Sus scrofa: one gene and its partners. The protein of the gene in region 5 purifies or fractionates together with the protein of the main gene of each other region. This does not show direct contact. Links are inferred from orthologs where the notes say so. Each region holds a gene or a part of one and is shown on either strand. Other genes may lie near its edges.

Evidence for each region.
Region 1: the proteins of SMAD7 (region 5) and USP15 purify together in Homo sapiens (affinity purification with western blotting; 3 studies listed by BioGRID). This does not show direct contact. The link is inferred for Sus scrofa from reciprocal best matches to the Homo sapiens genes SMAD7 and USP15.
Region 2: the proteins of SMAD7 (region 5) and RNF111 purify together in Homo sapiens (affinity purification with western blotting; 3 studies listed by BioGRID). This does not show direct contact. The link is inferred for Sus scrofa from reciprocal best matches to the Homo sapiens genes SMAD7 and RNF111.
Region 3: the proteins of SMAD7 (region 5) and WWP1 purify together in Homo sapiens (affinity purification with western blotting; 3 studies listed by BioGRID, with this or other methods). This does not show direct contact. The link is inferred for Sus scrofa from reciprocal best matches to the Homo sapiens genes SMAD7 and WWP1.
Region 4: the proteins of SMAD7 (region 5) and ACVR1B purify together in Homo sapiens (affinity purification with western blotting; 3 studies listed by BioGRID and IntAct, with this or other methods). This does not show direct contact. The link is inferred for Sus scrofa from reciprocal best matches to the Homo sapiens genes SMAD7 and ACVR1B.
Region 6: the proteins of SMAD7 (region 5) and TGFBR1 purify together in Homo sapiens (affinity purification with western blotting; 19 studies listed by BioGRID). This does not show direct contact. The link is inferred for Sus scrofa from reciprocal best matches to the Homo sapiens genes SMAD7 and TGFBR1.
Region 7: the proteins of SMAD7 (region 5) and TGFBR2 purify together in Homo sapiens (affinity purification with western blotting; 3 studies listed by BioGRID). This does not show direct contact. The link is inferred for Sus scrofa from reciprocal best matches to the Homo sapiens genes SMAD7 and TGFBR2.

Annotation. Positions count from the first base shown.
Region 1 is NC_010447.5:27,062,014-27,065,513, reverse strand, and holds part of USP15 (ubiquitin carboxyl-terminal hydrolase 15), read right to left. Parts: coding exon 3,347-3,500; intron 1-3,346. UniProt on the Homo sapiens protein: Hydrolase that removes conjugated ubiquitin from target proteins and regulates various pathways such as the TGF-beta receptor signaling, NF-kappa-B and RNF41/NRDP1-PRKN pathways.
Region 2 is NC_010443.5:112,960,966-112,963,283, reverse strand, and holds the end of RNF111 (E3 ubiquitin-protein ligase Arkadia), read left to right. Parts: intron 1-171; coding exon 172-289; 3' UTR 290-1,818; downstream 1,819-2,318. UniProt on the Homo sapiens protein: E3 ubiquitin-protein ligase. Required for mesoderm patterning during embryonic development. Acts as an enhancer of the transcriptional responses of the SMAD2/SMAD3 effectors, which are activated downstream of BMP.
Region 3 is NC_010446.5:50,415,244-50,418,743, forward strand, and holds part of WWP1 (NEDD4-like E3 ubiquitin-protein ligase WWP1), read right to left. Parts: intron 3,460-3,500; coding exon 3,375-3,459; intron 3,243-3,374; coding exon 3,114-3,242; intron 1,629-3,113; coding exon 1,553-1,628; intron 1,451-1,552; coding exon 1,379-1,450; intron 1-1,378. UniProt on the Homo sapiens protein: E3 ubiquitin-protein ligase which accepts ubiquitin from an E2 ubiquitin-conjugating enzyme in the form of a thioester and then directly transfers the ubiquitin to targeted substrates.
Region 4 is NC_010447.5:17,312,912-17,317,121, reverse strand, and holds the start of ACVR1B (activin receptor type-1B precursor), read right to left. Parts: upstream 2,801-4,210; coding exon 2,710-2,800; intron 2,442-2,709; exon of another isoform or gene 1,026-2,441; intron 1-1,025. UniProt on the Homo sapiens protein: Transmembrane serine/threonine kinase activin type-1 receptor forming an activin receptor complex with activin receptor type-2 (ACVR2A or ACVR2B).
Region 5 is NC_010443.5:98,539,516-98,543,815, forward strand, and holds the start of SMAD7 (mothers against decapentaplegic homolog 7), read right to left. Parts: upstream 2,801-4,300; coding exon 2,188-2,800; intron 2,164-2,187; exon of another isoform or gene 1,626-2,163; coding exon of another isoform or gene 1,553-1,625; intron 1,547-1,552; exon of another isoform or gene 1,242-1,546; intron 848-1,241; coding exon 794-847; intron 1-793. UniProt on the Homo sapiens protein: Antagonist of signaling by TGF-beta (transforming growth factor) type 1 receptor superfamily members; has been shown to inhibit TGF-beta (Transforming growth factor) and activin signaling by associating with their receptors thus preventing SMAD2 access.
Region 6 is NC_010443.5:240,858,872-240,862,885, reverse strand, and holds the start of TGFBR1 (TGF-beta receptor type-1), read right to left. Parts: upstream 2,801-4,014; 5' UTR 2,786-2,800; coding exon 2,563-2,785; intron 1-2,562. UniProt on the Homo sapiens protein: Transmembrane serine/threonine kinase forming with the TGF-beta type II serine/threonine kinase receptor, TGFBR2, the non-promiscuous receptor for the TGF-beta cytokines TGFB1, TGFB2 and TGFB3.
Region 7 is NC_010455.5:16,822,370-16,825,869, reverse strand, and holds part of TGFBR2 (TGF-beta receptor type-2), read right to left. Parts: intron 3,428-3,500; coding exon 3,259-3,427; intron 1-3,258. UniProt on the Homo sapiens protein: Transmembrane serine/threonine kinase forming with the TGF-beta type I serine/threonine kinase receptor, TGFBR1, the non-promiscuous receptor for the TGF-beta cytokines TGFB1, TGFB2 and TGFB3.

The DNA of each region.
Region 1 (3,500 bases), on a different chromosome or scaffold from region 5:
CTCCTATAGCACCGTCAGAGCACTTTTCACACCATATAAGCTTCTTGAGAACAAGGACTAGGAACACCTTTGTAATTCCAGCACCTTGCAGAGTATGTGAGTCCAATTCCTAACACATGTTTCAGTTCAACTACTAATAAACTTCTATGATTTAAATCAACTTCAGTGACAGGAAAACTCAAGTAGGCTAACCTAGTTAACTTCCTTTTCCTTTTGAGCTGGTTAAAGCATAGTGTTAATGAGGTGATTATTTTGGATTTGAGTTGTTACAGCCTCCAAGTGGAAAAAAAAATCCAATTTCCTATGCTGACCATGGTTCTACTATCCATACATTTTTATTGCTGGTCACCAAAATAGAGGTAAATTAAAGAAATCGACATTGCTGGAAAAATAAATTAAAACCCAAATTATGGGAGAATAACACAAACCTTATGGGCTAATGTGTAACTTGAATTCAATCTGCCTCTATATAATACAGATTATATTACTGGCATGGGAAAGCACTATTTTTGGCAAATGAGTGTAGAGAGACAGTACATTAATTTTTAGATTTTTTACTCATTTTCTAAATACTCCTCTTATTTCCTTATACTTATTGGCATATATTTGTAAAGTTACAAACTAGAGAGGTAAGGGTGTAGTTTAATACTGCTATACTTTCTCTCCTTTAAAAAGAATGTTAACAATCCTATACTTATAAATAAGTGAATAAGTGAGTAAAGGATGTAATTTTAGAAGTATGTTCATATATTCCCTTGGCCAAAAATAAAAGCAGGTGTTTATTAATCCTGCTCATAGATAAAGGCAAGTGCCAGGTCTCTCTTGCTCTCTATAATATCTTCAGCACTACGGGATCAAATACTGACAGGAGGGTAGCAGATTTAATGAGTTCATGAAGGAGACATATTAAACAGACAGCAAAAGCAGTGGGTGAAATCTGCATAACTGGGTACATGACCAGTCTCTACTACACTTATTACTTTGAATGAAAGGACTATATTTTTTATTAATTCCTCATATTCTGGGTAAACTCAAACACTTGATGGTAAACTCAAATATTTCCATTAAATGAATGGTAAGATCATAATTTTGTCCAAAGCATATACCTTTCATGTAGATTTTATGAATAATGCTATGGACTGAATTGTCTTCTCAAAATTCTTATGTGAAGTCTTTTTTTTTTGCCTTGTTGTTGTTGTTGTTGCTATTTCTTGGGCCGCTCCCGCGGCATATGGAGGTTCCCAGGCTAGGGGTTGAATCGGAGCTGTAGCCACCGGCCTACGCCAGAGCCACAGCAACGCGGGATCCGAGCCGCGTCTGCGACCTACACCACAGCTCACGGCAACGCCGGATCGTTAACCCACTGAGCAAGGGCAGGGACCGAACCGGCAACCTCATGGTTCCTAGTCGGATTCGTTAACCACTGCGCCACGACGGGAACTCCTTTATGTGAAGTCTTAATCAATGTGATGATATCTGGAGACGGGGCCTTTGAGAGAGAGTTTAATGAGATCATGAAATTCACATTGCTGGAAAAATAAATTAAAAACCAAATGGGGCCCTCATGATGGGATCAGGACCCTTCTAAGAAGAGACAACAGAGAGCTTGTGCTCAACACTCTCTCTCCCCCTCTCTGCTGTCTGAGGACACAGTAAGGAGGAGGCCATCTGTAAATGAAGGAAGAGAGTCTGTACTAGAAACCGCCACACTGGCATTCTGATCTTAGATTTCCAGCCTCTAGAACAGGAAGAAAACAGATTTCTGTTGTTTAAGTCACTCAGTCTATGGCATTTTGTTACACCAGTCTGTGCAGAATGAAGCAACTAACACACTCTAACAAACTGCGCTTCTATTTAGAACCTTCAACTAGGACCTTTAGTAAACAATCTTCTAAAGCAGGAGCCATGTCTACTTTGTTTACCAGAGCTTTATACTCAGTAGGTGCCTAATACATATTGAATGAACAAAATTTCTAAACACCTCTAAGTCCTGAGGGTTGGACAAAGATTTACAAAGTTTTCAAATTCTTTGAAATCTTCAAAGAATTCATGGTCTAGGGGAGAAAAGTTAAAGTAAACCAAAGGTCATAATAAAACCTGGTAAGTGTTATAATAGAATTTAGGGGAAAAGAAGGAGATAAGAAATACTTTTACTAGGGGGGGTCAAGTGTCAAAAAGGACTGATTGATTAATAAAGGGAGAGAATAGTGTTTTGCTCCCTAAAATGTAAAATAATCCAATTATGACCCTAAGCAATGGAATCAGGCAGACAACTGATACTCTCAACAGTTAAAAGGTAAGAACGTTGGTGAAACAAGTCCCCCCACCTTCTTTAAATAGCCACAGCTACTGCATTATGGAAGTTCCCAGGCTAGGGACTGAATTGGAGTTGCAGCTGGGCCTACACTACAGACACAGCAACACTGGATCAGAGTCACAGCTGTGACCTAAACTGCAGCTTGCAGCAATGCTGGATCCTTAACCTACTGAGGGAGGCCAGGGATTGAATCTGCATCCTCAAAGAGACAGTGTTGGGTCCTTAACCTGCTGAGCCACAAGGGGAATTCCTGAAGCAAGTATTTTTAGTATAACTAAATTTATGTTTCTCTTTCACATTCTTTAGATGCCTAAAAATTACAGGTATTTAAATATTACCATTATTTTATCATATCATGAATCAAAATGTACAGTCCTATTTTCACTTCCATAGCCACTAGGAAAAAAATTACAATTAACATTAAAGAAAGTTCAAGTTGGGAAATAGGGAAAATAACACTACATTATTAATCTTTGTAAGCTAATATTCATACCAACATTGTTAAGTCAAACCACTCTCATTTTTCTTTGATAAGAAAAAGCCTTTGAGAAATTTTTTTCTACATGACAAATAATGATACTCTGCACACTGCTCACCCTTTCAAGATCCTGAAAAGTTGTACTGATTTCCAAAGTATTTATCTTATAAAAATCTCATGCAAAAAAGCTTAGTTTTATCTAATTGTGTTTGAGGCATAAGGACTCATCACAAATTTTTCATAAAAATAACAAATGCCAAGAAAATAATCATTTCTTGGAGTTCCCGTCGTGGCGCAGTGGTAAACGAATCTGACTAGGAACCATGAGGTTGTGGGTTCGATCCCTGGCCTTGCTCAGTGGGTTAAGGATCTGGCGTTGCTGTGAGCTGTGGTGTAGGTGGCAGATGCAGCTCAGATCCTGCATTGCTATGGCTCTGGCGTAGGCTGGTGGCTACAGCTCCAGTTCGACCCCTAGCCTGGGAACCTCCATATGCCATGGGAAGCGGCCCTAGAAAAGGCAAAAAAAAGAAAAGAAAAGAATCATTTCTTACCTGCATAGGTTTGGTAAGTGGATCCATTCTAACTAAATAAACTTCCAAGGTACGTTCTTTTTTCATGGGCAATGGAAGTGTCAGGTAACAAAAAGGATCAAATGTTACTGAAATCTTAGCACATTCAGGACAAACTAAAGTTGATTTAAAAAGG
Region 2 (2,318 bases), about 14 Mb from region 5:
TAACCACTGCGCCATGACGGGAACTCCTGGGATTTTTTAATAGAAAAGAATGCTGTCTAGTAACTTGAAAACATTACTGACTTACTGCATATATCATTTGTTTAAAAATAAATATCATGAGTGTTTGTCATAAGATTAATTTTTGCTTTTTGTTTTGTTTGCTTATAATAGACGCCTTCCCTGTATGCACCTTTTCCACCAAGTGTGTGTTGACCAGTGGTTGATTACCAATAAGAAGTGCCCCATATGCAGAGTGGACATTGAGGCCCAGCTGCCAAGTGAGAGTTGACACCATGTTTCAGAACTCTTGCCCTCCCTCTCATTCCCACCCTCCTGGTACTGCAGTCAACCAAAGATGGCATGACTTACCTGCGCAGATTTGGAAGCCTTGAACTTAGAGTGCTGGCTCTGCTATATGGTACAACTAATGCTAGACGTACAGTTTATGTATACAGTTGATTTTGATGTATTTATAAAAGCCTTTTTTTCTAGATTTGACATTTTTCCTGTATCATTTTACTGTATTTTTGCATGGTTCCTTGTATTGCATTTCTTTGCACATATTATGGGCTTGTGACCCTAAACTTGCAGGCAAGATTAGCTGCTTTAGTAAGTAGAATTTTGTGGTCTTTTTGTTTTTTACATAGTACCAGGTCTTGAGAATTATGAATTTTTTTATCCATTACTAACGTTTAATTTAATCAATCATGTACTTTAGTTTAATGTATAAAAATCCTCTAGAAAATGATAATATTGTATTAAGACATTCCTTAATTAGGACACAATGGCTGCTGTATATTTACAATATGGAGTTCTGAGTTAAATACCATCCTTGATACTGGGAACAGAGTATAAACCATTTTCAATCAGATGCAGGTGGTATTCACATCACCAGAGTGATCAATAGAAATTTTCTTGGTGTATCCTTTTCCTTTCAGCACAATGCAGATAGAGTTGAATATTGATATCATACATTTAGACTGCTGTTCTGATTGTATTTATCGTTTCCTACATTGTTTAGAACTTTTATTTCCCAGATTCAATTTTTGCTGCTGTGAAACAGCTCTGATGAACACTAAATATTAATTTCAATTAGCTGGATTGTATATACTTGCAGATTTAACAAAATTTTAGGGAAATCGAAGAAGACATGTAGAATTTTTCAGTCTTCTGCTAAGCACGTATAGTAAAGATATCTGCTTGTGTTGAGTTTTGTAAACACATTTAGTCAGGATTTAGAATTGCAGTCACTGGCAGGTATCTATGCATTCATAGAACTTCTAAAGGTCCCAGGATCACTTTTAAAGGGATTTTTATTAGTTTAAAGATAAATAAAGTCAGCTGAATCTACATGTCTCTTGTTTTATTTCTCTTCAAACTTGAAAACAGTAAATCTGCAGATACTGTGAGGCACAAATTATGCTGTCAACCTACTGTTGCTCTGGTTTTAGATTCCCACTTCGTACATTACCAAGAGTCGATCACTGATTTAAAATTTTTAATTTCTATAGTTAAGATTTACTGCATAATATAGAATATTAAAGTTAAGTTAATGTACTAACATTTCTCCTTTGGAGAAAGTTTTAATCCACTTCAGGATGCATATATCAAGATACTTTCATATACAGGATAGCCTAATTTTATTTGTCTAAATATGCTTAATATGCCCCAGATTGCAAATGCATCAGTCAGTAACATCACTGTCTGTATGTGGAAGACATGTTCCCATGAATCATATGTGAAGATGTCAATAAGCTTGCATTAAGCCACCTGCTTTGTAAGTGGATTGATTAATAAATAACTTATATTTCTATTGTCTTTGTGTTTTCATAGTTTGTTTTTATAAAACCATTTATATTAAACATTTGGAATTCAAAAATAATGATCTCATTCAAGTTGACATTTACATAATTTGATGGTTGTTACTCAGTTATGGCTTCTTGTCTTTTATTAATATTAGTAAATAGTTACTCTGTAGTAATTGTCAGTATCAGGTGCTTGAACATAATATGTGGAGAGATGGAAGATGGACTATGGTTAAGAAATTTGGATATGAAATAACATTTTTAAAAAGAACATTTGATGATTAAGCTGTAGTTGGTGGGAAGGGGATGAGACAGAATGAGAGAAAAGGAGAGAAACTTTGTATGCCATCTTACTGGGGACAAGAGCTAGTACCAATAGCATGTGACAGATGTAGGGCTTCACCACTATAAAACACAGGGTCTGTGCCAAGGGATAAGATGGGGAGAATTCAATATAATAGAGTCCTCTTGATGCTCCCCTAAACACAAATATAGATAGATTCCTCTGTTTTT
Region 3 (3,500 bases), on a different chromosome or scaffold from region 5:
AATTCTACCCCTAGCCTGGGAACATTATACGCCGTGGGTGCGACCATAAAAAGACTATATAGATAAATAAAAGAAAATAAGATGCCAGTGCCGAGCATATGGCAGTCACTCAACACATGATAGGATTTATTATGACTATTACTATAATGAACACACAGTAAATGATAGTCATTGATAGAGCTGTGTTCTGAGTGGTTTCAAATTTCTAAATTCTAAAACTCCCTTTGGATATACAGAATACAATGAGACAAGTTGTACATCTTCCCTCAATATCCAAGGTAGGTTGGTTCCAGGACACCCCCACAGATACTAAAATCCAAAGACAGTCAAGTAATATAAGCTATGTACATCTTCCCATACGCTTTTTTTTTTTTTTTTTTTTTTTGTCTTTTTGCCTTTTCTAGGGCTGCTCCCGCGGCATATGGAGGTTCCCAGGCTAGGGGTCTAATTGGAGCTGTAGCCACCGGCCTACACCGGAGCCACAGCAACATGGGATCTGAGCTGCGTCTGCGACCTACACCACAGCTCACAGCAACGCTGGATCCTTAATCCACTGAGCAAGGCCAGGGATTGAACCCGCAACCACCACTGAATCACGACAGGAACTCCTATCTTCCCATATACTTTAAATTATTTCTCAATTATGTATAATAAGTAATGCAATATAAATACTACATAAACATAGGGATACCTTGGGGATATTACAGGTTTGGTTCCAGACCACTACAATAAAGAGAATACCACAATAAATCAAATTACATGAATTTTGTGGTTTCCCAGTGTGAGTAGAAGTTATATTTATATCATACTGTAGTCTATTAAGTCTCGACTTAATAGTCTAGACAGTCTTAATAAGTCTATGTAGTCTATTAAGTTTAGCATTATGTCTAAAAAGACATACATACCTTTATTAAAAGATATTTTATTATTTAAAAAAATGCTAACCATCATCTGAGAAAGTTGTAATCTTTTTGCAATAGTATACATCAAAGATTACTGATCACAGATCAATATATAAATTTAATAATGAAGTCTGAAATATTCAAGAATCACAAAAATGTGACACAGGGACACCAAGTGAGCACATCCTGCTGGAAAAACGGTGCCAAGAGACTTGCTCAATACAAGGTTGCCACAACTTTCAATCTGTAAAAAACACTATCTGCAAAAGCGACATAAAAGCAAAGTGCAAGAAAATGAGGTATGCCTGAATTTGCTGGCTGCAGCAAATTCAAATTTAGCCTTTAGAAACTTTCTGGAGTCCCGTCTGTCCCCACCCCAGAATAGTTTCTATCCACAGTTGGCTGAATCCACGGATGTGGTAGCTGCAGATACAGAGGCTAACTGTACTATTTTATTCTGATAAAATCGTTCTTACCTGTTGGAAGGAATCTTCGAACAATGTCTGCCGGGACACATTGATCTTTACATGACTGGGTAGTGCATTAGACTACAAAGAAAAATAACATTGTAATGTAAGTTACAGTGCATGTACTGTGTAAAGATAAAACTAAATGATTATGAACATAAGATTTATTTACCACCGTAGTACCTGGCACAAATAACGGAAGTGAGCAAGTTTCCACCTAAAGCTGCGTTCATAAGCAATCTGTGGGCCACCTTTAGTTCTAAAGAAAAACAAAAACAAACTATATAATAATTCATAATAAAGCTGGATATTTAATATTCAGTATGTGACTGGAGTGTACCAGGGTCCAAAAAATGAGTACAGGAAAGTTACTTGCTGGGAGAGAAGTAAAGATATATTTAGTGGGCCAACAGAGATTCAAGTAATGAGGACACACAACATATAAAAATGAAGAGGGAGGGCATGTGTATGGATAGATCTTTTGTAAAAAAAAAAGTGAGTTAAATAAAATACTAAAGTCAACTACTGACTATTTCAAAGAAAACTTCAAATCCCAGGTGGGCAGAGGCTCTTTCAGGTAGTTTTCTTGTAAAGTGTAGCAATAAAAATGAATTTTCACTGAATGAATTCATAAGGTGAAGAATTATGGTGTTTTGCTTGTCTGTCTTTTTTTTTTTTTTTTTTTTTTTTTTGCTTTTTAGGCCATGCATGCAGCATATGGAGGTTCCCAGGTTAGGGGTTGAATCGTAGCTGCAGCTGCTGGCCTACACCACTGTCACAGCAACTCAGGATCCAAGCCAAGTCTGTGATTTACACCACAGCTCACAGCAACGCCAGATCCTTAACCCACTGAGTAAGGCCAGGGATCGAACCTCCATCCTCATGGATCCTAGTTGGGTTCGTTAACCACTGAGCATGAAGGGAACTCCCTGTTTGCTTTTAATTTAAGGAAATTAACAGCTGCTGAGAATAATTCAGCAGAGAAAGATGGAGAATATAAAGACGATCACTGTTGGAACAGTGAACTGGAAAAGAGGGGGAAGAGCTAGTGCACCAGCACAGGGAGGACTGGACTTTGATAAGAACGATGATAGTTCATCTTCAGGATGAAGAGGGAAGAGAGATACTGATAGGTGGACAGATGCAACGGTAGGAATTGCAAAAAGTTTTTATGGCTATTTCTACATACTTACTGATACAAGGACATTACACTAAGAGTAATAAGGGAGTTAAGGAGAGATCTTTCAAATGCTTAATTGAGCTATTTTTACCTGGAAAATTAAATTTTCTTGAACATCTCATTCTGTGATGTTGCAACAGCATGATGCACCTGTTAAGAGCACAGACTCTTCGGACAGACTGCTTTGGTCTGAAACCACTTCCATTACTTGCCTATAATTTTGCATAAGTTAGCTGTGCTCCCTAAGCCTCAGTTTCTGAACTTGGAAAATAACAGTATCTACCTCAAGGAATTGTTGGAAGATAAAATGAGCTAATTTACACTAAATGTTTAGAAGAATCCTTGGCACACAGTAATCACTAGGTAAATATTTACTATCGTTCTTACTAAGGAATTATGTGCCGCAAAATCATTCTATAAGAAGGTAGAGCAAAGACAGGCATAGTAGAGTATTACTTGTGTAAATTTTCTTGATACACAAAATAAAATTTATTGCTAAACTTGAGGCTAAATTAGAAGTGAAACCTATGTCCTCATTACACAGCACATAAGAGCTTCACTTACACAGATGACTTGCCATTGCGAGGATCTTTGAATGTTGTTGTTCTTGTATTATGGTCAACAAAGTACCTAACCCCTTCCCGGGTATACCTAATTTCCCAGCCTTCTGGCAGGGGTTCTTCATTCTGTAAGCTAAAAGATAATGCAATAATCATAAGGTGAACATTTTACAGGTGCTAAAAACATCTGAATCAAGGTTTTTAATGCAATTCTATCTTCAGACATGTGTAAGATAACCTAAGAAAGGCTGTAGTACATACGTACCCTTGGGTTCTGGGATCCTCCCACTGGGTTGTTTTTGTGTTATGATTCACAAAGTAAACTCTGTCTGTTGAATCCACTCTTTTTTCTAAAAAACAGAGTGAGCATAGCATTTAATAACTTTTTGCT
Region 4 (4,210 bases), on a different chromosome or scaffold from region 5:
TCGCGTTCACCATACTTCAAATTCATGTCCACTCAACAAAATTACAAGACTTGGCCTGGAATTACATTTTCAGTCTATTCACAGAAATTCAAAATATTCCTTTCTGAACCTCAAGCATCTCCCTTGTTGCTTTTGTCTTAAGAAATGAATGTCAGATTCTCTGCTCCTAATTCAGGTTTACATTTTAAAACACTAGCATGAAAACTCCAAAGGCAGGCCTGAAAACATGGTTCACCTGTCAAATGAATGCTGTTTACAACCTGGAACTCACGCTCCTATCACTGGCCTCGTACTGATTCGCTGCGAGCTCACTACTGAACAGACACCTATCCCTTGCTGCCCTCAGGTCCCGTCCAAGCACCCGGCTTCAGGGCTGCCTGGCTCGGCCACTCCTCCGGCCCACCTAGGGAAGCGCCACAGAGGAAGTGCAGGGGAGGGCAGCAATCAAGTTCTTGTTATCGCACAGCCTCTCTTTTCCCAGAACTGATGTTTGACTTGAAGCCTTTTGCAACAGTGGTCTCTGTAACATGCACTATTGGCAACTAGATGTGTCCAGGAAAAAAACTGTAGTGTCTGGCCAAGTTTAAAGGCCTTTGAGAATGTTTGCTGGACACACAACCTAATTTCCAATTTACCAAAAAAAGAAATCAACTCCCTCTTATGACCACCCACCCTCACCCCAACAAACATCCATTTTAGGAAGGTTACCGAAAAAATGAACCCTGCCCCACTCAGAACCAGTTGGATTATCAATTAAACATTCTTAACTAGGCTCACAACAACAAGAAAAAACCCCACCAAACACCACACCAAACCAACAGGGAAATGGCTGTTACAAATCTTGGACCTATTAGGAGCAGGATAAAAATTCCTATGGAAGGAATTTAAAGATTTATACCTACACGTGTAAAATGACAAACCTGAAGGCTTAGTCTCCTTATTAACCACCCTACCAGAGAAATAACATGCTACATACTCCCAAAGCAAGGCCCAGCAAACATTGTTCACGAAAACCAGGAACTTACCCTCCCTTTCAGGCTGCGTTCACACACCTTCACCACGTCTATCAGACCCCACGGCAGCGGCGGTGTGCTACCTATGCCACAGAGTCGCCAGCCCCAGGAACACGCACGAGGTGCTTAACAGAAGCATTAGCCGGTGAACAAAGAGCCCACTGCACAGGCTGCACCACTGGGAACAAATATCAAGGCCGGAGGTAATGAACTTGTTTTTGATACTCCAAAGTGGGATGCTGTCTTTGGCTGATCGTCTGGTTTTTAAAAGAAGCCTCAACCCACCGGAGAACCATTATTTTTAGTGGCGAGAAGAGAGCCACAGAACACACACTTGATCTCCTGCTGCTGGAAGGTTAGGGGCTGCTGAGAAGTCAAAGCAGCAGCAGGCTTTGTACATGGGGAGTGAATACAATCTCGATCGTCTCTCCCAGATCCCTCTGTGGGTCAATAATCACTTCAATATAACTGCCAAATATAACCTTCATCTGCTACCCCAATGCCGACACACATCTGAGACGACTCCCTTCAATTAAATATTTTAGGGTTTCGTCTGCTCGCCTCAGTCCCCTAAGCCTCATAAACAACACACCCAGTGGAGAGTCCCTCGGAAAGGTACCACCTCGGCAGGGAAGGGTGGGGGTGCCATGAGAGAGCAGGAGGCTGTGGGGCTTGGAAGGTAAGGGGTGTGTGAGGGTGGGGGACTGCGTGGGGGGAAGGGCTGGGAAGAGGGATCGTGCGGGAAGGTAAATAAATCCTGACCCAGGGCCGGGAGCCGGTCCAGTGGTGGGGTCTTTAAATAATCTTGGGGGTGGGAGGCAGGGTCTAGGATGTCACCTGAAAGGCATCCACAAAGTGATGAACTGAATGGGCCCCCTGGGGTGGGGTGGGCGAGGCGAGGTGGAAAGCAAATACACCCAGATGCAGATTAACCGTTCTGGGGACTAGGTTTCCTAGGGTTAGAGAGATTCCTAAGACAAGCTCCCGAAAGGTTTAGGGGCCTATTCGTCCCATTTCCTCCAAAGAGCTTCCGCGGGGCATGTGTATTGGGGGGGGGGGGTGGCCCCACTGAACTCAAGGGACTGCGCGAAGGGGAAATGTGACTCGCTTTCCCAGAATATTAGGGAGGAACGAGAGGGAGGGTTAGAGGCACCCCAAGTGCAGGGTCTGAAGGAAGGGTTTGACACCGCTACCCCTTTCATCCGAGGTGCGCGAGGCTTCTCAACACCGGGATCTCTCGGGGAGCCAAAGACCCCACTGCCCGAGCCCCACAATCTTGGCGGGAGAAAAGGCGCCCCCCAGGAGCATCTGGAGGGAGGGAATGGAGACCCCCGCCCCTGGACATATTGAGGGGCAGAAACGTGGATTTCCAAATCTTGGGGAAGGTACCCGGCACTTCCCATTATGGAACACGGGGGTACTGGGAGCGCGACCCCCGAGAGCTCCTCGAATCGTGTTCCGCCTGGAAGAGGGCTCGGGTCCCCAGGGGACCGGCGTGAGCTCGGTCCCAGCTGGGCAGCCGCGCCTCCGGGGTCCGGGAAAGCCGATTGGGGGTCCCCGCGACTCCCCCGCGCCCCCCGCCCGGCCATATTGTGCGCGTGGGGAGGGGGCGCGCTGTAGCCAGGGGCCGCGGCGCGAGGCCTCGCCCTCGCCCGGCCCTCTCCATCTCGGCCCCCGCCCCCGCCCCGGGACTCACCCTGGATCCCCCGGGGCCCGGACCCGCCGCTGCCGGCGAGCAGGAGGACAACAAGGGGGAAGAAGGAGGAGGCTCCAGCCGACTCCGCCATAGTAACCGCCGCTGCCGCCGCCGCCGCAGCCCAGCAGCGCCCAGCGCGCGCGCGCGCGCCCCCGGCGCCTCCCCTCCTCCCGCGGCCCGGCTCCCGCCTCCCTCTTCTCCGCCCGGCGCCGGCACGTGCGCTCCCGGCGGAGCCGGCGCCGCGGCCGCCGCGCGCGCACCCGAAGGGCGGGGCCGGGTGCGCGCGGGCGCCCGCCTTAAAGGGGAGTGTCTCTGTTAAAGGGGTGGGAGGGGCTCGCGTCTCAGCCAACCTCACCCGTGGGTGCCGAGCCCGGCGCCAAGGAGGCCGAGCCGGACACGCGCCCTCCGCCCAGGCCTACACCCCCTGCAGCGCAGCGTGATCTTGTCGGCACCGACCCCCATCCCCCGCATCGAATGTTCTACGAGTCCCGAGCGGGTTCCCGTTCCCTTCGTCCCTACTGCTTAGCCTCAGGCCCCCATCACGTCCCACTGGGGTCGTCACAGCCGTCTCCGAACTGCTCTCCCCGCCCGGTGTGGCCCCCTGCCATCCGCAGGACACACAGACACCTGTGTGATCGAATGGTGGGATGCCCCTTTTCAGAACATACCAGGGCTTGTTAATGACAGTACTCAATCTTGGTAAGAGTGCTGTGTGAGGCACTTCTATTCTGCTGGTAGGTAGAACCCTTTGGTAAGCAATTTGGCATTATGTATCAAATGTCTTAAAATATTCGGATCCCTCTCCCCTGTCTGTCTTCAAGAAACAATAGAGATGAGGACCGATATTTATGAGAAATGTTAACTGGTGCATGTTTATCATTGTAAAAAGCTAAAAACTTAAGTATGCAATAGAAGACAAATATGGCCTGTCTATATGATGGAGCATTATTTAGTAATTAAAAGTTATGTTTGTAAAAATATGATGTGAGAAAATGTTCAGGAGGTAATGTTAAATGAAAGAGCAAAATACAAAGCTATTTACAGTATTGTTCTAATTTTGTTGATACTCTACCTCTGTTTGGAAAAAAAGGCTGGAAGGAAATGACCCAGTATTATCAGTAGTTATCACCAGAATAATTTTTTACTTTTTCTTTAAACAGTTTAGTGTTTTCTAAATATTTTACCAATAAGCAGGTGTTACTTTCAAATTTAGAAAAAACTGCTTATAGAAGGTAAACTGAATCACCCATGTCTTTTTGAAAAAGAATTCCTTTTCCCTAGCTTGAAAAAGAGCTTGACTGAAATCACGTAAAGGGCAGGTTTTGTTTTTTTTTTTCCCCACTGCACAGCAAGTTACACTTACATGTATACATTTTTTCCCCTCCCTTTGTTCTGTTGCGATATAAGTATCTAGACGTAATTCTCAGTGCTACACAGCAGGATCTCATAGTAAATCTATTCCAAGAGCAATAGTTTGCATCCGATAAGGGCAGGGTTTTGG
Region 5 (4,300 bases):
GGGCTCTAAGATACAGGGGACCATCCAGTGGTCACCCCTGAGTCCCAGCTTTGAGGACCCCCCGCCTCCCCTGGCACTGTGAGCCCCTGCACTGCCAGTCAGAAGTTGAATGCAGACAACCGCAACGGGGCTGGTGCCAGTCTCAAGTGCGGCTTCTGCCCTGGCCCCAAGCCATCTGGTGACAAAGCAACAGGCAGGCAGAACTATGCTAAAAACTTTCAGAGCCCCCACCAAGAATTCTGAGAAAACCAGGAAGGGAAGGGCCTGTCGTCTTTACGTCTTAAAGGTTCAAATTCGCTTACCCCAAAGACCTCTCTGTACCTTTTTAAACTGTCTTCCCTCCCACCAAGCTATCCATTCTTCCCACTGATACTTCTGGCACTCATAACGTCTCCAAAGTTTCCCATCAACCTGTCCTCTTTGGCTCCCAAGACACTTCTGCAAGGATCAAATTCCACGTGTTTAAAAGCTGAGCCAACTTGGGTTGTGGAGTGCAAATACATGAAAAAAGGAACAAAATGTAATGCATATCTAGGAAACATCTTTGAAAAAAAAAAAAAGAAAAACACATACATGCATAATATTGTATCTATACACACACATATTATCTCCAGGTTCAGTCACAACAAAAACAGAAAAAAATCCACCAAACTTCCCACAGAGGAAACCTATAACCACCTTGGGGCAAGCCCAGGGTCTCCCCAAGCCGCTGCCTAGACATAAAAAATCCGAGTTCTAGAGACTCCATTTCTAACCTAAGATAGGAAGGATATATTTAAAACCCTCTACTCACCAGTTGGTTTGAGAAAATCCATCGGGTATCTGGAGTAAGGAGGAGGGGGAGACTCTGGAATTAAAAAAGAAAGAGAAAATAAAGGCCGAGCCATGAGAAAGAGAGATAGAAACTTATGATAACAGAGGCATTCTTTTAGCCCAACTGTTTGTCTTAGCTGTGGGGGTTGGAGGCAGGGCCGCGAGGCGGTGATTGCCTTGATATTTAGCTGTCAGATAAACAAAAGAGGCCGCCTGGCGCCAGCCTCGGCGCTCCGCTCCTCCACGTCTGCGGCCGCCGCCGCCGCGCTCGGCCGGCCCGGCTGGAAACCACCGGCTCTACCGGGGCCGGGCACTTCACAGTTCACAGGGCGGGGGGCGACCAAGCCCCCGCTCGGTCCCAGAACTTCAGATCCGACTCCCGCCGCCGCCCCCCCACCCTGACTCGTCCCCCAGGGGTGCAAATTCACCTTGGCCACCGCAGCTCCTCTCCACACCGCGCGGGGGAACTCGGGGCTCCCCTCTCCCAGCCCACCCGCGAGGTTTACCCCAAGTCCGCTGGTGAACTTGGATTTGTGAACGCCCCGGGTGCACCCCCGCCCCACACAAATATGCAGAGAAAAGGAAAGCAATGCAGGAGGCTGGGATCTCAGCTGAGAAGCCCAGGCCCCAGAGCTGTTAAGGGGCCGTGTCGTCAGGGAGGGCTGGGGCCCGACCCTTCTGCAGTCAGGAACTGTGCTTTCCTGTGCAGGAAGAAAGGAAAAAGCAGAGGGCACCCAACTTCTCCTGACTGCTTGTCCTCTTCCACCCTGGGCTGGCAGAGTTGAGAGCAGATATCCAGCGCCGCCGCCCATCAAACTCTCTTCGCCCCAAAACACAAAGCTACTCCGGACAGGGCACTTTCCCAGCCACTTGTGCCCGACAGGACTCTCCTTATTTACTAAAGGAGCAGGCAGAGACGTTCCAGTCTTTACAACTGCTTCTCCCAGCCTTCCTTGGCGGGCTTGGACCGAATCCAACTCGGCCACACACCTCAACGCCTTTCCGGGTGCAGGGGAGGCGTGACCCCCCCTCCTCCCCCCCACACACTTCTCTCTGCACCCCTTGGTTGATCCGGAAATGAGAAATCTATCTAATTTTTAACCCCCGGTCTGTAGAGTGTGTGCATGAGCAGTGCCCAAAACCCCGCTAGGGGAAACAGAGGAGGAGAAAAAAACTGTAAGGGAACCCCCAGGGAATGCCTTTCCAGGTTCCCCCCAGTCCCTTCTCTACCTTTGTCCCTCTAGTCTTCTCCCAGGAGGGGATGTACTCTCCCCTCTGGCGAGACAGCTGCACAAACACACAGCCGAAGGGGGCTTTTCTTTCACTACTTGAGCGCCAAGGGGAGAGGTGGGTGGGCGCAGAACAACTTCTTACCTAGTTCGCAGAGTCGGCTAAGGTGATGGGGGTTGCAGCACACCAGCTCGGGGTTGATCTTCCCGTAAGATTCACAGCAACACAGCCTCTTGACTTCCGAGGAATGCCTGAGATCCGGCCACCTGAACACTTTGCACAGCAGGAGGGGGAGCGAGTAGGACGAGGGCGGCTGCGCGGGCTGTGAGCCGGCAGGCGCCCCCAGGCCCAGCCTGCAGTCCAGGCGGCCGGGCAGCAAGAGGCACGCCGTGCGCGTACCGCCGCGGGACTCCACGGCCTGGAGCAGCAGCTCCAGCTGCCGTTCCTTCAGTTTCTTAAGCACCGAGTGCGTGAGCGCCTTCAGATCCGCCTCGGCGCCCCCGGCCACGCCGGCGCCCGCGGCTGGGGGGTGGGGATGGTGGTGACCTTTGGCACCTCGCACCGCCTTGCCCAGGCAGCAGCCAGCCCTGCCTGCGCCGCCGCCACCGGCCCCATGTGCCCGGCCGTCCGTCGCCCCTTCTCCCCGCAGCTCGCCTCCTCCACCGCCTCCCCACGCGCCCTCCTCCTCGTCCTCGCCGCCGGGCGCACGGCTCCTCCAGAGACGCCGGACGAGCGCAGATCGTTTGGTCCTGAACATGCGGGGCGAGGAGGCGAGGAGAAAAGTCGTTTGCCGGCTAAGGAGCGAACATGACCTCCGCACACCATGAAGAAGTCGGGCGCCGAGTTGGGGCAGCAGGCGCAGGCGACAGCAGCAGCAGCAGGGGCCCGGGCAGGAGCGGCGGCGGCCCGAGGGGCGCTCCGTGGCATGCGCCAGTCTCCCGGAGGCCGGGGGGCGCGCGGGGGCCCGGAGGCGCCCGCCGGGGCTCGGGGGCCTGCGCTCCGGCTGCCCCACCCCGCGCGGCCCGAGCCGCGCGCTGCTCTCGGGCCCCGGCGCACCCCGGAGGAACGCGGCCGCCGCTTCCCTGGGGGCGGCGAAGCCTACCCCGGTCGGCGCCTCCCCAAAAAGAGGCCCCCCCGCAGCGGCTCCCGAGTGTCGGGCTCGCCAGCCTTGGCTTCCTACATGGAAGATCCGCGGGGGCAAAAAAAGAAAGGCGTTCGGCTGGGCTGCCGGAGGGAGGAAAAAGCCTCTTTTCCCCTTCCTAAGCAACTTAATTTGGGGGTGGGGAGAAGGAGGCAATTAAAAAAAAAAAAAAAAAGGCAGGCACGCGATTTATTTTTTTCTTCTATATCCTTAGTAACCGGATCTCCTTGAATTCCGTGCACACGAAGACTCGGGGGAGGGGGCCGAGTGGACTTCACCCCGCAGGAGATGTTTGGCGAAATAAGGAGGTTCTCTCAAAATCTAAGAACCAAATACGCAAAGCCCAAAATGAAAACCACCACCTCCTCGCACCCCGGAGGTCTGGGGGCGTCTGGCTGGAGCTGGGGTTTAAAAAAAGAAAATGTTTACAAAGTAGAACAAGACGTCTGAGGGGTGGAAAAAAGGTATCCACGAGTTACATTCCCCTTTTTCCTTGCAGAGCCCCACTGGTCTTCCTCTCCTTTTCTTCGGGGGAAAAAAAAAAAAAGCCGTGTATTTTTTTAATCCACAGAAAGCTTTGGCTAGGCTGTTTCAATCCTTCGCATCTGGGTGATTTGGAGGAGTCTCTGGTCTTTCCTCCTGAGCTCCCGGGGGCCCTAGTCCTCGGCGGGGACTTCCTCGGGGCTGGCGGGGGCGCAGGGGCAGAAGATGCTGCGGCGGCGGCTGCGCCCCGCGGGGCTGACAGCGCGGGGGAGGGCGGCGCGGCGGCCGCGGCGGGCCCCTGGCGGGTCGCGCGCTCTCGCCCTCCGCTCGCTAGCGCGGGGGCCGCCGGTGTCCCCTCCCCTGGGAGCCGGGGCTCCCCTTATGGGCTGCTCGCCCCGACAAGGCTGCGTCGGCTGGAGGCCCCGGTGTCCCTCACGCCGCCTTCTCCTCCGAGACTCTCCTCGTCGCGCCCGGGAGCCTCCTTGTCCCCCGTCCGCCCTCTCCTGGCGCTCGAGTCCTTCTGCCGCCGCCGGGGGCTCGCCGCGCCGCACCAGGGACTCCTGGGCCAGGCGCTCGGCAGCTCGGCGCCGGCGGGCTGGCTCTGTCTCGGGCAGCTCTCTCCCGCGCGGCGAG
Region 6 (4,014 bases), about 140 Mb from region 5:
GTGAGATCTCTGGGTACTAAGTGATGGCCCTAATCATAAGCCTCAAGTACTGCTCTAAGCACTGAGTACAAATGGGAAATCCTGTAAACCCTTTGAGAGGATGGCTAAGGAAGATTAGCTTGGCAGCAGCCTATAAGCGAGAGAAATACTGAAAAGCAAATGGATTTGGGGGTAGGGAAAAGAGGCAGGACTAAACTGACAGCTGAATCCAATGAGGGGAAGAAACATTCAAGAAGCATTAATGTAAAGAAGAGCTGAGTTTCAGGTATATTTTCAAAGAAAACATTATGAAAGAGCACACTCACATGGGTACATAAGCAGACATACTGGTAACTAAACTGTGCACCAATGACAAGGAACCAATTTCCCTAGAGAAATTTATGTTGGAGAGAGAAGCTGGGCAAAGAAATACAAAACTGATAACCTGGACAATGAGGGAACAACTACAAACTCTTAGAAAGGAGTTTAAAATTACAAATTTTAAAAAACATCTGAGAAGTTCCCACTTTGGCACAGTGGGTTAAGGATCCAGCATTGCTGCAGCTACAGTTCAGATTTGATCCACTGCCTGGGAACTTCGATATGCCATGGATATGATTGCAAAAGGAAAAAAAATTAAAAATAAATGAATAAAAAGACCTGAGCTTCTTCAGAATGTATGAAAGGATAAATGGAAACATCAGCGTAACCTACCAGGGCAGGCAGACCAGTTGAGATAGTCTAGACTTAAGGATGATAGCACCTGGATCAGCTTTGTCTTGTCTGCATGCCAGTGTAGTCTATTAACTCCTCCAGGGCACAGACTAAGCCATGCTCTGTACATTAATGAAGTCCAATATTGTTACTTGAATATAGGAACACTCTGTGTGCTAAGCTAGGTGGAAAAGAGTGAACTGTGTTATTCGAGTTAATTTTATGCTTGATGCATATCTATATTGATTCTCCCACCTGTCTTGACCCCCTTCTCAGGCCAATGTCAAAAATTCACTGTTTCCTCTAATGAAGGCCAGGTGTGAAAGGACTCCAAAAATGTACTAGGAGCCAGAAAAAAGCCAGCCTGTTTTTCTAATTATGAGGGCAAAATCTAAAAGTGAATAATAAAAATCAATTATTCATTAGAGGACTAAAAAAGAAAAATGGGCTTCGCCAGACAGTTAAGTGTGTATCTTAAAACGTATAGGTTTTGCAAACACTGAACCCTTGGTACAAATCCTAACTCCAGCTCTTAGTAATTGATACTTAACCCTCTCCACACCTCAGTTTTCTCATCTATAAAATGGGGCAAATGCCACTGGGCCCTGAGGGATGTGAGGATTAGATAGTACACTTTTGGTGTACCTTATGCACCTATACCACAGTAAGTCTTCTTTAGACAGCTGCTTATAGTAATATCTGGCACCCTAAGTACTGAGTTTTTTTGTTTCAAAAGCATTTGCTGTTCAGTTACAGAAAGAGAAACTTATTTTAGTTGCTTATACTAAGGCTCTATATTTCAGTTTCTAGTATTATAGTTGGGATGCTAACAAAGTTTTTCACTCCTCCCTCCACGGGGTAGATGATGACCATATACCCTTTCCCAATTTATATTTTGGAAAATGCAGCAAACATTCTCCCTTGAAAACCAGCTATACAGACAACTGATGAAAACTACCGTCACTCAAGAAATGCAACATCTCTAGAGATGTCCTTCGAGGAAATAAAACGTGTGATCAACTCAGTCATTTCCATTCAAACATTCCAAACCCCGCAGAGTGAGCAAACGTTCAAGTTTCTACTACGAAACAATTTGTAGCCTTCTGGTTAGTGGATTCACTTCAACACTTCCCCAGACGCACGAAAAGAAGAAACATTCCGCACATCTCAGTGCCTCCTTGTCCTCAAACAAAGCTTCGCAGCACCTCCCATTCCAAAGCCACCCCTGGATGAGGAAGCAGCCCCTCTCGGCTGGGTCAGACCGGCGCCGAAGGCCAGGGAGGCCTGCTGACCCGAGGGTCTCTGCTGACTCGGGGGTCACACGTCGCGCCCTCCCACTGCTGGAGGAGGCCCTGGAGACTTGGAGCTCACACTCCGCCCTGGAAGCCCCCTCCGCCCCCAACCCCGCCCGGGCCCCCGGAGCCTGAAGCACCTAACAGCTCTGGGTGCGGTGCCCGGGACAACGCCACACAGCGACTAGCGGGGACTCGGGGCAGCCCCAGCTCTCCAAGTCCAGGAGAGCCTCGCACCCTGGGGCCCTCGGCCTGCGCCCACTCGCTTCCCAGAGGGCAGCCCCCAACCCTGGACGGCTCCGCCCGACGCTACCTCCCTCAGAGTCTGCAGCTCGGGCGGCCGCGGGCTGCCGGGCACGTCCGCCCGCGCTAGAACCCACGCCCTCGCCCCGCCTCGGCCTCCCGCCCGCGGCTCGCGTGGCGGCAGCCAGGCACTTAAAGTCCGGCCTCCGCCCGGGCGCCGCCACCTGCGCCCCCGGCCCCGCGCCATGTTTGAGAAAGAGAAGGAGCGAGCCAGAGGCCGGGCCCGGCCGGCGCGCCCCGCAGCCACCGCCAGCTCCGCCGCGCCGCCGCTCACCCGTCGCCTCCGGGACCAGCGTGGCCGTCGCCGCCAGCACGAAGAGGAGCAGCCGGGAACGCGAGCACCGGCCGCCACCTCCATGGTCCCGCCGCCACTGCCTGTGGCCCGGCCCGGCCCGGCCGCCGCCTCGCCTCAACAAGCTTCGCCTCGCCCCACCTCCCCCGCCGCCGAGGCGGCCTCGCTCCGGCCCTTTGTAACTGCTTGGGGGCCGCGCGACCATTGGCTGTCGGGCTCCCGCCGGCCCCGCCTCCCCGCCGTCTGCAAGCGGCCAAGCGGGACCTACCCAGGAGCACCGCCCACAGGCCCGCTGGGCAGCCAATCCAGAGCCGCAGGCTTCCGCTCACTGGTCACGCCCCCAAACTCCCGGGGGGCCGGGCAGCCAGACCCCTGCCCCAGCAGGAGCAGCTCCGAGTTCCGTGGAGGCCGGGTGGGGGCAGGGTCTAGCCCAGACGCTGCCGAGGCTCCCGCCTTCAAGGGCTAAGGGCTAAGAGCTAAGGGCTGAGCGATGGGTGTGTCTGGGTATGAGTTGCTTTCGGAAAAAGGCTGTGGCTGCTCGACGCTTTTTTCTCCTAGCCTCTTTTCTTCTCACCTAAGATGTGGTACTAAGCCCGACCCCAGTTCACAGCCCTGCACCATCAATTCCCCACATTCATCCAGATCCTTAGTACCATCAGGCAGGCTTCAACTTCCCCTCCCCATATCCACGTCTCAACTTTCAAAATCCCCGCCCCACGATGCTGCTTCAGTGCCTTTCGTATATTACCCAGTCTACTGTTTCCTCCCGCTGTCACATCCACCCAAAACCTAGATACCCACCCCAAAATTCTAGGCCCAGAAAGTCTCCAAATCCTGGCCTCAGACCTCAGATCCTGAGCTCAGACACACCCCCAAACTGCCTCCCGCCCCTCTCCGGAACTCAGAGCCGACCCAGACTGGGCTCCAAACCACACTCCTTTCCCCTTCCCCCTTCCTGATTCTGCGGGGCAAGGGAAGAGCCTCATCCCTATGCCCAAAGGAGAGGGATTCCTGTTCTTAGCACGCAGCACCCCCGGGGCGGAGGAGGAGCAGTCATTAGTTTGAGCTGCCTCTGACACGCCTGCACAATAATTCTGAGGTGTCACTAGAAACCCAAATAAACTCGGCTACGTTTTCATTCTGAATTCCTAATTTACTGTGAGACGCTCCACCCACCTTCCCTCTGGGACGCCAAAATGAGCTCCAGATTTGTAATTCTTCCCGTCAGACTAGTCCTCTCTTCAGACACAAACACAACCGAGAAGGCTGTTACACAGAACAGAGAACATTTTTCCACAGAACCTTTTAAGGAGAAAATTTTATTTTCTGTGTGATTTGAACTTGGAATTAAATAAACCTTGGTAGCAGGACTCAGAACCAGCCTCTAGTATTGATTTGTAATTACTCTAGCGATACTCCGTGAGTATTTTACAA
Region 7 (3,500 bases), on a different chromosome or scaffold from region 5:
TCCTTAACCACTAGGCCACCAGGGATATCTACACACTGATTCTCATTTAAATCATGAAAGGGAGGGTGTGGGAAAGCAGGAGACAGCTAGGTCCTCAGGGTGACTATCAACCTTCCATGCTCAATGCACTGCCAGGCAACACTAGGCTTGCTGGACAGAATCTGGCTAAAATGTTTTCGGGAAAAGTAGTTACAATTCTTTTCTGCTTGCTGGGCCCAGGGCATGGTGGCTGAGGGCACATCCAAGCCAGCAGCTGAGAAAACGGAAGCAACTTTCTAGATGAAGAATTTCAGTTTGCCAGAATGACAGAAAGGACAGAAGAGGGAAAAAACACAGATCTGTGGGAAAGAACTGCAAGGTGTTCTTCCTTTATGGTTCAGTGAAACAGCTGATGCCGCCGTATACTGCTGACTCTACAGCCAGCGTCCCAGCCACGCTGCAGACTCGGAGTCCCACTTGGCAGAGGGCTGGGTGTCTCCCACGCGGCCTGAGCCACTGAAGATGTGGGCGGTACCCACTGACAAAAGAACCTCGGTAATGAGATTAATCTGGGTTCTGAAATATCTCTATCCTTGCAAAGGACCTAGGCATGTCACGGGGGATTGGCTGCACAAGTTGTATTAGTGAAACGAATGAATGAATCAGCCAATGAATGAGAAGTGCATGGAAGCTGATGCCAGGAGAGCAGAACCAGGGACAGCAGAGTCCTTTATTCCCTGACTTGCTTTTTTTTTTTGTCTTTTTAGGGCCATACTTGTGGCATAAGGAGGTTCCCAGGCTAAGGGTCCAATCAGAGATGTAGCCACTGGCCTACACCAGAGCTACAGCAATGCCAGATCCTTAACTCACTGAGTGAAGCCAGGGATCGAACCCACATCCTCATGGATGCTAGTCGGGTTCATTAACTGCAGAGCCATGAAGGGAACTCCCTGACTTGGTATTTTTAAGACCGCCTCCCACCTGAGGGTGTGGGTCCTGGACACAGACTCTGAGCCGTGAGATCTCTGTGCAGAGGTTTGGGGAGATGCCTCTGTGGCGACTCAAGGGAGTAGGGCTGCACAGAGCTAAGAGAGGGGTTGCGAAGAGACCTCAGCCAACCTCTGGGCAGTTGGGGGGCTGGGAGCACTCATCTGAGCTGTCCCAAGTTGAGGCAAAGTGGCCAGACGTGTGGGCCCCTGCACCAACCAGTCCTAGATGCTAGCTGCCAGTGCAGAGGCGCCAAGCCTGCCCTACTCCAGGGTGGGTGGAAGGGAGCTCCCTGGAGGGATTTGGGGTGGTTCCAGCAGCCCAGAGTGAGTGCTTCAATGCTACAGGGGGCAGGGGCATGGGAGGGCATCCCCACACCTCCTTCTTTCCTCATCTGCACCCCAGTTCCACTCCTCAGGAAGATGTGTCTTTGCCAAGACAGGTAAAAACACCACTCACTGTATTGACTCTTTGGGGCTGAGACTCAGAGGGGACAGAGAGGGTCTTCCCCAGCGTGCTCACATCTTCTGAGATGGCAAAGCCTCAATTCCAGGGATGCGTGACTCACACTGCATCACTGGGACTTGTGCTGAGGTCAGGGCAACCACCTTAATGACAAAAGCCTGTTTGGGGGAGCAGAGGTAAGTTCTCACCCCCAGGGGACATTTAAGTAAGGATGGTCAGCAGAGAACAGAAGTGAAGGAGCCTGGGGTCACCTCGGCTGGGATCTGAAGCTTTCCTGCACTAAACCTGACAGGTGGTCAGCAGCCTCTCCTGGTCTGACTCTTCCAAAGAAGGGAGCCTGTCCCACATTCAGGAAACTATGATTGAGAAAATTTTTAAACTGAGTCTGTCTGTTTTTCCCCTTGTAAATTCTATGGGTCTCTCTCTGGCCTCTAGAGTTCTGCAGAACAAGTTGATTATAGCTTCCGTCTGAGAGTCCTTCAGATCTCTCTCAACAGAGCCCAGGTCCTCATGTCTAATTGCCTCCACCAGCCCTCAGCACACTTCTGAACCTCTGGATCACACTGGTCCCTGTCCTCTGAACACAATCTCTCACAAAATCCCCTTTTCAAAAGCATTGCTCAGAGCTGGACATGAGTGCAGCTGACAGGTACAGCAAGCTGTCACAGCAGGTCTTTGCTGTCATGTCCTTTGGTTCTTCTGAACCTAATTCATGTCCAGGTATGTAGGGAAATGTGCAAGGCTTTCATATCTATCATCAAGGCTGAATATACATGGTCTGGAGAAAGTCTCAAAAGACCTCTTTCCAAGAAGGAGGGGAGATATGCGAGTTTACATCCTCATTTGCAAATGTTCAGGAGATACAGAGGTGACTTTGAAAAAAAGAGCTGATGAATTGAAACCATCAGAAGTCTTCAAAAATGTTACATTTCATTAATGAAGGGGTATTCTTTATAAAATAAGGACTCACTCTGTTGTCCTTTCACCTCTGGCTCATACTCCCAATTCATAATGATGAGTTAATCAAATGATTCATGAGCACCCACTCTGTGTGTGTGTGTGTGTGTGTGTGTGTGGTGTGAGAGAGAGAGAGAGAGAGAGAGGAGAGAGAGAGAGAGAGAGAGAGAGAGAGATGGAGATGGGGTGGCAGGGAGATAGGAAGAGAAGAGGAAATCTGCTCCAAGAAAAAGATATGCTTCTGCTCCCAGAGAAAGATGCAGTGTTTGACCCAGCAGTGACATGATGCCTTGGCCAAGCCTTCTGACTAAGGAATGGCTTGTCCTCTGGTGCTGTGCGTCCTTTCCCCCTTTTGACAAGTTCTTCCTTTTTACAACAGCCCACTTTTCCTCTCCACAAAACAGGACTGAGTTTGCCTCCGAAGAACAAAGCTCTTGACATCACTACAGGGTCCTCAGGGGTGTCAACTAAATGATAAGCAAGTGACAAACCCCTGATACAAGGAAGGGTTTCCAGATTTATTATAAATAGCAAAGGGGTGTGTATGTGTGTATGTATTTGAAAAATTATAGAGTATCTCTAGAAATGACACTGAATAACTGAAAGAGAGATAGTCTAAAGGGAAGGGAGTGGGACAGGATACTGGGCTCCAGGCAGGAAACACATGACTACATGAGTGATAGAAAGGTTTAAAAAGGCAGCCTTGGAGTTTTCTGGTGGCTCAGAGGTTAAGAACTTAGCATTATCACTGATGAGACTGGAGTCCCTGCTGCGGTGCGGGTTCAATCCATGGCCTGGGAACTTCTGCATGCCATGAGCATGGCTAACAAAAATTAAAATTAAAATTATAATAAAAAAAGGCAGCCTTACCAGACAGCCACGCAGACCTCCTGTGGCTTCTCACAGATGGCTGTGATGCTGCAGTTGCTCAGGCAGGACTTCTGGTTGTCACAGGTGGATGATCGCACATCACAGAATTTACACAGTTGTGGAAGCTTGACGGCACCATTGCTGTCAGTGACCATCATGTCGCTATTAACTAGGAGTGAAAAGAAGATGCAGGGCATGGTTATCTAACTGCTAGGTATGAATGTGATTTCAAAAGAACCTGA